Linked DNA regions of Oryzias latipes. The protein of the gene in region 1 binds, or shares a complex with, the protein of each later gene. Links are inferred from orthologs where the notes say so. Each region holds a gene or a part of one and is shown in the gene's direction. Other genes may lie near its edges.

The links. Proteins that work in one complex are often made in the same cells at the same time.
Region 2: the proteins of s1pr1 (region 1) and early activation antigen CD69 are in contact, whole or in part, in a cryo-EM structure (PDB 8G94), measured with the Homo sapiens proteins. The link is inferred for Oryzias latipes from reciprocal best matches to the Homo sapiens genes S1PR1 and CD69. Residues at the interface, in NP_001307659.1 of Homo sapiens: Asn157, Leu160, Phe161, Ile164, Ser165, Trp168, Val169, Leu172, Ile173, Gly176, Ile179, Met180, Gly181; in NP_001772.1 of Homo sapiens: Val41, Ala44, Val45, Val48, Val49, Thr52, Ile53, Ile56, Ile59, Ala60, Val63.

Annotation. Positions count from the first base shown.
Region 1 is NC_019862.2:24,606,993-24,611,014, reverse strand, and holds the start of s1pr1 (sphingosine 1-phosphate receptor 1), read left to right. Parts: upstream 1-1,212; 5' UTR 1,213-1,451; intron 1,452-3,218; 5' UTR 3,219-3,340; coding exon 3,341-4,022.
Region 2 is NC_019874.2:20,028,520-20,032,773, reverse strand, and holds the start of early activation antigen CD69, read left to right. Parts: upstream 1-1,443; 5' UTR 1,444-1,552; coding exon 1,553-1,640; intron 1,641-1,824; coding exon 1,825-1,914; intron 1,915-4,254. UniProt on the Homo sapiens protein: Transmembrane protein expressed mainly on T-cells resident in mucosa that plays an essential role in immune cell homeostasis.

The DNA of each region.
Region 1 (4,022 bases):
TTTATTTTACTTATTTACATAAGTAAGTTTGTTCTCTTGGTCACCAGTAACTGCTAAAAAAAAAAAAAATTCTGCTCCTGAAGAAGGCTGTTACCTCCTAAAATTGGTAACAGGGTTACACAGAGTAAAATATTGTACAACTGATCTGTGAGCTGAGCTAATCAAGCCTTTGATAGTTTATTACCTGTTATGGATGAATATCTAGCAGACAATCAGAAAAGTTAATATTTGCTTTTCATGAATTTTGAAACCCAAATGTCACAACTGTTGTGTTCTGATGACATAGTGACAACAAATACATATGGAGCTGAAAACCTGTATGTGTGCTTCAAAGTCACACACAAAAACCCTCTCAAAGCTCTGAAAAGCATGTTCCCTCTTTTGCTAAATTTGAGAACAAAAAGCATCCATTACATGGCTTGAACTGTTTTTCTGTGTTGCTTTCAACATCATGCCACCGTGCAGAACTCAGTTCAATCCAAAAAAATGCTATATTACTGTTTGGTTTAAGAATATATCCATCCCAACATGTTCAGAACCTGTCGATTCTCTTCTGAGGTCACAGGGCAGCAGGAGCCAACCCAGCTACTGTTGGGTGAAGGTGGGATACACCCTGGACAGGTCACCAGCCTGTTGCAGGACCAAACACACACTGCACCTTCATTTTTTGTTTTTGTTTTTTGAAGGTGGGAGGAGAAAACACACATGCACAGGTGAGATTTGAACCAGGATCCTTTTTGCTGTGAAGCTAGAGTGCTCACCACTGTACCACCATGCGCAGTAGAGGGGCAGGAGTTGCAAAAGGGAACAGTAGTGGACCGCCATTAGAAAAGAAAAGATTAAAAACATGTATTTCAAACTGTTTTGTTTTTATTTATTAATAATATTAAAAGAGTAGTTATTTTAAGCTAAGGTGGTATAAATAATGCGTGTAAGAGTTTGTAGTAAGGATTTTTTTTAAATGAGCTTTAAACAATCCAAACTTTCTTGGCCCCTGTAGCTCCGCCCATGCCAAAAAATACACCGTTTAATGATGTTTCATAAATAATTCATCATTTAAAATACATAATAAATTATGATTTATGTTTTTTTATATCATCTTTTCACCATTTATTAATATGCGATTCCTCAGATCTTTTTCTAAATATAAAGCTGTGTAAATCTTTAGAGCTTGCCTTCCCCCACCCCTTGCTCTCCGTGCACGCGCGCGTGTTCTAGTGCGCGCTCTCCTTCCACTGTCGGACTCTCTTCTTGCGGACTCTGGCTGGAGGTGGAGGATAACAAAAATATTTTTTATGGTGCCGAAAGCTGCTCTTCCCTTTTCTTCGCGTCAACTTGAGACTGAGAGAAAACTCAGAAAGTGTTTTTTTTAATGTTATTTTATTTTTTTTGCGTGAAAAACAAAGTGGAGCTTCAGCCTGAGGAAAAGACAAGTCAGCTGCTGAACCCAGGTCAGTTCAAATGAAGACGTGTGTGATGTTACAGATTAAAGAGAACATAATGCTGCTTTATAACAGAAATCCAGAAAACCCGTTTTAAAATGAATCTGAAATGTTTTATAGGTCTCTAGAGCGCGCGTGCCTTCTTTATAATAAGACGTCAGGGTTCATCAGGAGGTCCTCCTGAGATGTTTGATGGAAAATCAGCTTTATATAATTATACATATTTCCCCCCTTTAACTCGCCTATAATCAGTTTTTAGCAAATGATGAAAAAATGAACTCCAAATAAGGATGAGCTTATTTAATCAGGGGTACCACAGATGATTTTTAAGTGGTAACTTTAAAAATGAGAAGGAATATAACAATAAAACAGCAGCAAAAATCTTGTTAGTTTGTTCTATCAAACTGATTTTGAATTTATAGGCTTTTTATCGCTAAATTGACAAACCAAGCAAACAAATAAAATACAAAATATAGTCGGGACTTTCTTTCTTTTTAATTGTTAAATCGTATATGAAAATATGTGAACATAAAAATTATTTTTTTTGTCTTTTGACAATAAGTGAGGAAAAAAAGTCAATACAAAGATAACTATAGCACCCTCTGCTGGTAACAGGCTGTAACTCCAGGGTGCATACGTGTGACAAAATTGTTTAGAACATTTCAAACTTTATCATTCTTATTTTTATTTCTATTATTATTATTATTATTATTATTATTATTATTATTATTATTATTATTAGTTTGAAGTAGCATAATTTCCATCAATCTTCAACTCCAAACCTGAGTTTGAGACATTTTAAAACTATTTTGAGAACTTAATAGTTTGTGGAGGTCAGATATGTCACATGATCAGATCTGGTCTAAACAGCTGGTGGTGTCAGTGCCTATACCTTACCTAAGGCACATCAGAGGATGATGAGGTTGGAGGAGATGGAAGATCTGACTGGATCTGCTCGGAATGACATCTGAGTGACATGTGAACGGATAGGTTTTTATATGAATCCCAGAAAACAAACAAACATCAACAACAACAAAAAATCCATGTATGTTAATGATTATTTCATAACGTAGAAGCCCACAGAACTATTTCTACAATCACAGAACTTGGTACACATTTTTCGGGTAAAAAGAAAAAAACAAAGACAAGACCTCGGACTTTTATCAAGGGCACAAAAGGGCCATGCCATTAACTTTGGCAAACTCTTTTTTTTTTTTTTACAAACTCACTTCCAGTAAAGGTCAAACTGTTTTTTCCCTGCAGACTCATATTTAGAAAAGACAAGAACATTGGTCAGAATATGAGCATTTTTATGCCAACAGGGATGTTTAAGGAACGGATGCACTATCGTTGACACAACGCCAGTGTGGTGTCCTGGCGTCAGTGGGTTTTTTGGATCTTAAAGAACAGAAAAAGACAAAAAGGATGCATTGTTTTCTATTTCCTCTTTGATAGGCTTGAAAATCTCTGCACCAAAATGTAAAGACAAGTTCTAAATGTTGTAAAAAATATATAGGGATTAAAAAAGTACAGAATGTATAAGGCATAAAGTTATTAAAAAGCATGAAAACTGTACGCATATGTTGCTCTTTTTACATTTTGAGTTTGCTATGATACTTGTGGTTCAGATTTTTGGTTATGAAGCTTAAAAATTCATCATTTGAGTGAACAATTTGACTTTGGACATAAATGTTGCGTCTTTCTTGAGGGAAGACTGAAGTTTGCAGAACTGATCAAGGCTCATCTGTTAACAAGGACATTTTTTTCTCTCCACAGAAGCATGTCCTCCTTTGGCAGCAGGACCCTCTCTGCTCTTCCTCAGGGTGACCCTCTGACATGAGCCACTGAAGTTTAAAGACACAGCTCCCTCTGCTGGACGTCATCTGCAGCTACAGACCATGGCTGAGTCCAGCTACTCCGATCTCATTGCCAAACACTACAACTTCACTGGCAAGTTTCGGAAGACGCAGCAGGACTCCGGTCTGAAGGCTGACTCTGTGATCTTCATCATCGTGTGCTGCTTCATCATCCTGGAGAACATCCTGGTTCTTGCCACCATTTGGAGGACCAAGAAGTTTCATAAGCCCATGTACTACTTCATTGGGAACCTGGCGCTGTCCGACCTGCTGGCCGGCGTTGTGTACACCGCCAATATCCTGCTGTCTGGAGCCAACACCTACAAGTTGACACCCACACAGTGGTTCCTGAGAGAGGGCAGCATGTTTGTGGCTCTGGCGGCATCTGTCTTCAGCCTGCTGGCCATCGCCATTGAGCGCCACCTCACCATGCTGAAAATGAAGCTGCACAACAACGGCAACACGTGCCGCGTCTTCCTCCTCATCAGCACGGTGTGGATGATTGCAGCGATGCTGGGCGGGCTGCCGCTGATGGGCTGGAACTGCATCCACAGGATGTCGGAGTGCTCCACCGTCCTGCCACTCTACCACAAGACCTACATCCTGTTCTGCACCACCGTCTTCAGCATCATCCTCATGGCCATCGTGGTGCTCTACGCCCGGATTTACACGCTGGTGCGCACTCGCAGCAGCAAGCTCGTCTTCCGCAAAGTAACCAACAGCC
Region 2 (4,254 bases), on another chromosome or scaffold:
TTGTTTTTTTCTTTTTGCTATCCATAATTAAAAGGAAAAAAAAACATCAGATATGAATTGGGTTCCCCCTTTATTCTTTCTATGTTTTATTTATATTTATTGCACTTATTACAAAATGTGCACATTGTTTGAAATTAAATCATCCTGATAAAAATAATGTCAATTTTTTTCCAGCTTTGCTGAAAATTTTTTAACTCATGTATATTGATGTGTTACTGGAATAGCAACCAATGAGACAAAGACTGGCTTACCAATCAGGAATGAGCTTGCTGGAGGGCCACACCTGTACCACTTCCAGTGGGCTAGGAAGAATTTAACCAACATTGCATTAGACGTGAGAGTACATACTTTTGTTGAGGCTTCTGAAAACTTGAATAACTTGCACATCCGAAACAAATGACAAAAATCTATACGTAAAATCAACATCATGGTTATTCTAAAGAATGCCTATATTCATCAGAATAACTATTGTTGCTGTGCTACCTTAAGTTATTCAAGTTATAAACTAGCCAATCAGATGCCTCAATGAAGGCATGTGAACAATCATAACGTCTGACAGATTCTCCTGGGCTCGGTTTTTAGTGGTAGGGGGTGTGGTCTTCCAACAAGCTCTCTCCTGATTGCCGAGATCTATTGACTCAAACCGATTCAGGCCAATCACTGCTTCCTAACGATTTCTGGTCCCAACATGGTGACATCCATACTGCATTAAATTGGCGTCTGAAAACACTTCGTTTGGAGCTGGATGTAAACTACTTTTTATGGGTGACGTGACACTCACTCGGTCCAGTTCTCATAATCAGTCAATGAAACCTACCAGCTGCACTCAACCTGAGCGTCGGTCCTCCAATAGTTATTTTTGAATTTATACTATGTATAAATTGCGACATATTCGCCTTCATCTTAAAGTAGAATACTTTGTGTCTTTGTTTATTTATTGATTAAACTTCAGCAGGTGTAACAAAGAAACTCCTGCAGGAATTCAAACGTCATGCATTGCATTGAGAAAGTAACATTGTAAGGGATTGCTTTTGAATACCATTAGAAGTAATCTGGAAATACAGTGGGGAAGTTGGAAAACACTGGTATTTAAATGCTGAAGTAGAGAGAAAGGAGTTAAAAGTACACGTTTATATTTTATATTTTGTTAAATTATTTTTTAGGATCTATTCTGTATTTATAAACTGTATTTGTTTGAGCGTGTGTGGTTCTTTTTAAGCGGAATAAACTGTTTCCCTTTAAAACCATCTCAGTTAGGTTAGTATTTGTTTGGTTCACATGTGGTTTAGGGGAAGGACAAAGACACGAAAGATGTCTGTGAGGAAGTTTTTTTTTTTTTTTAATTCTGTCCATCACTCACTTTTGATTGGACACTTAAATAAGGGGACCTTTTTTTTCCCCACTTTTATTTCTCTTTTTAACAAAAAGTTTGACTTGACCACACTGGGTGTCATCTGAAGTCCAGCCTGCGGACAGAAAGGGTTTTGCAACTCATTGTCAGTTGACCAGAGACTTGTCGGGTAAATCGAAAGTTAACAAAAAGTGCAAAGCAATGGAGATGCAAGAGGCCCCTGCAAAGGCTGAGACAGAGGACAAAGAAAAAAGAGCAGAGAAACCGAAGCAGGAGGCCAAAACTGAAGGTGGGAAAAATCTTCTTTTAAGACCTGATGTTCTTGATTTTGATCTGAATTAATTTTTTTTCAGTATAGAAACTAATCTTCTTTTTTTGCCTGTGTATATATAGGTTGACAAATATGTTGTTACTTTAGAAGTGACTGCCAGGTGTTGCTTCTAAAATTTGTTTGTCTCTATTTTAATCTTTAGATGAAGCAAATCAAGAACAATACTCTACCCTGCTGAGTCCAAGTGAAGAGATCTACTCTGAAGCTTTTCATGCGACAAAGCCTCCTCAAGGTACACTTTTATATAAAGTGCATCATGTCTTGAGTTATTAATGTTTGTCTGATAATAAGAGGTTTCATTGGGAGTCTTATTACAAATGCATCCTCTGCTCAATGCGCAACTGAAACACCCTGACAGCTTGTACCAACACGTCTCCCAGTCTGAGTGACAGCTTCAGTGAAGAACGTGCAGGTTCTTTCCCCCTTTTGTGAATTTTGAAACAGAAATTAAAATGAAAGTCTGAGTACTCATGCATTTTTGGTCTTTTCTTAATTCAAATGATTAGTTTATTAAAAGTTGGTGATTCTAGGAAATACAATTCTCAGTTTCCTGCAGTTTAAAAAAACAACAACCAATTTTGGATATAACAATAAATGCTTAAAATAATTAATAGATTACCAAAGTTATCTAATTGTGATTTTGTTTTAGAAATCTATAAAAGATTTTGGAATCTTTTGTAATGAATAATCTTTGGATAAGAGAAATAGAAAAACCTAGAGTTGAGTTTTTTTTTGTCTGCGCCAAAGACTTTTACATACATTTCAGGATTTTTACATTTTTTTTTTTAATTATGTTTAGCCTTTAATGTATGTGACTATAAGAATGATCTAAACATTTTTATCATTTGACTCATTTTGCGGTGGCAAGATGAATGTGGCTTTGTAGGGTATTGCCATTTTGTTTCAGTTAAAAAAGTTTATTTTTAGCCACTTTCATGTCCTGATGTTCCTGCCAAATGAATCATAATTGTTTTTTTTTTTGCCTTAGTGCTCTCCGCCCAAAAATGTTTGCAAAAACGGCAGTAGATTATTTAAACTCAGTTGATCTGATATCTGTGCAAAAAATCTTTTGCCGAATGACTGTCGCTGTCTTTCATCTACTTCCCCAACATAAATGATTTAATTTAGCGCGAAAACAAACCAAAACGACGTTTTTAAATAGGATTTCTTTTTTAAATAAAATGCATGAAAATGTTGCCTATAAGTCTGCAACTAGTTTCAGTCTGGTAAAAAAAAAAGTATTTGAAATGAGCCTTTCATGTGGCTTAAGTTCAATTACGGTAGGTCAAGTTTTAGCTGAATTATTGGAGTTCAGCCATGCTGGAAGCTAGCTGAACATTAAAAGTTGAAAGTTAAAAACTTGTTTTAGTTTGAAGTAAAAGTCGTGCTGCTTCAAAATGGTCCGATCGTGGTCCTGGTAAGTATCAAGCGTGAGAACACAACATTTCGGCCAGACATTCCCCTTTGTCATTTTGGTTGTTGTTCACTTTTCGGCATATCTTTCAGAGGTCACCACAGCGAATCAGCTTTCACTAATTTGCACAGGTGATCTGGCAGAGACCTTTATGCCTTTCCTGACACAACCCTGTATTTTATTATCATTATTTATGAGAAGTGAACAACTCGTGGCTGCAAATCAGCCTGCTGCCCTGCTACCTTTTTCTCAATCAAATGTAAAATGGATAAGAAAATAAATAATTGTCTATTGCTTCTAGGATTTTTAAAGCACTTTGTGCTTTTTACTTATAGGCTTCTGTACGATCTCAAAAACATGGGGCTAAACCCACCAAATTAGAATAACAACAATGAATCCTGCAAACAAATCAGGCTATTTTGAAAATGTATTACGTAAGAGTTAATGGCCGACGAAGTGTGCGGTTACTACTTTTTAACGCATGCCGTGGAAGCCTGAACCGTCCGACGCGAAGCGGAGGTGCGTTAAAAAGTAGTAACCGCACACTTCGAAGGCCATTAACCCGCTTATACCATGGTCATTTACAAAAAAAAATATTTTTCAATCAGTTTTAGTACTTTATTCTTGTTTTTTTCCGATTTGGATCACTTTTCTCATAAACAGCGTACTATATGTTACGTGATGCGGCGCATCGCGCCGCATCACGTAACATATAGTACATATATATAACATATAGTCCGCGTCGCGCAGTACCACCGCTGCAGTCAAGATTCGGCGATATATATATGCTGATCGTCCCGATGGGTTGAATAAAGCATCAATTCAGAGGGAAAGTTAATCGCTTACCACTTGTTTTTGCCCAGATGATGAAGCAAAAGGTTGTTTTACAGAAGCCGGCGCAGTGATAAGTGCTGGTGCAATTATCAAAAATTCCAATTTCGCTTTAACTGTATTGACTCATTTCCTTTTTGCTTTGCGGTTTTGTCCTCATGTGAGCCCTTACTGGTTAACCTTTGTGCTATCTCAGATGACCCCACCCTTATATTGCCGTGCTCTCCCTACCATGACAAAGGTGGATAAAGGTGGAAAGATTTCATGTAATCCGTGGACACCAGTGAGGTTCACAAATCAGTGAAGAAAAAAGGTTCAGAGCACTGT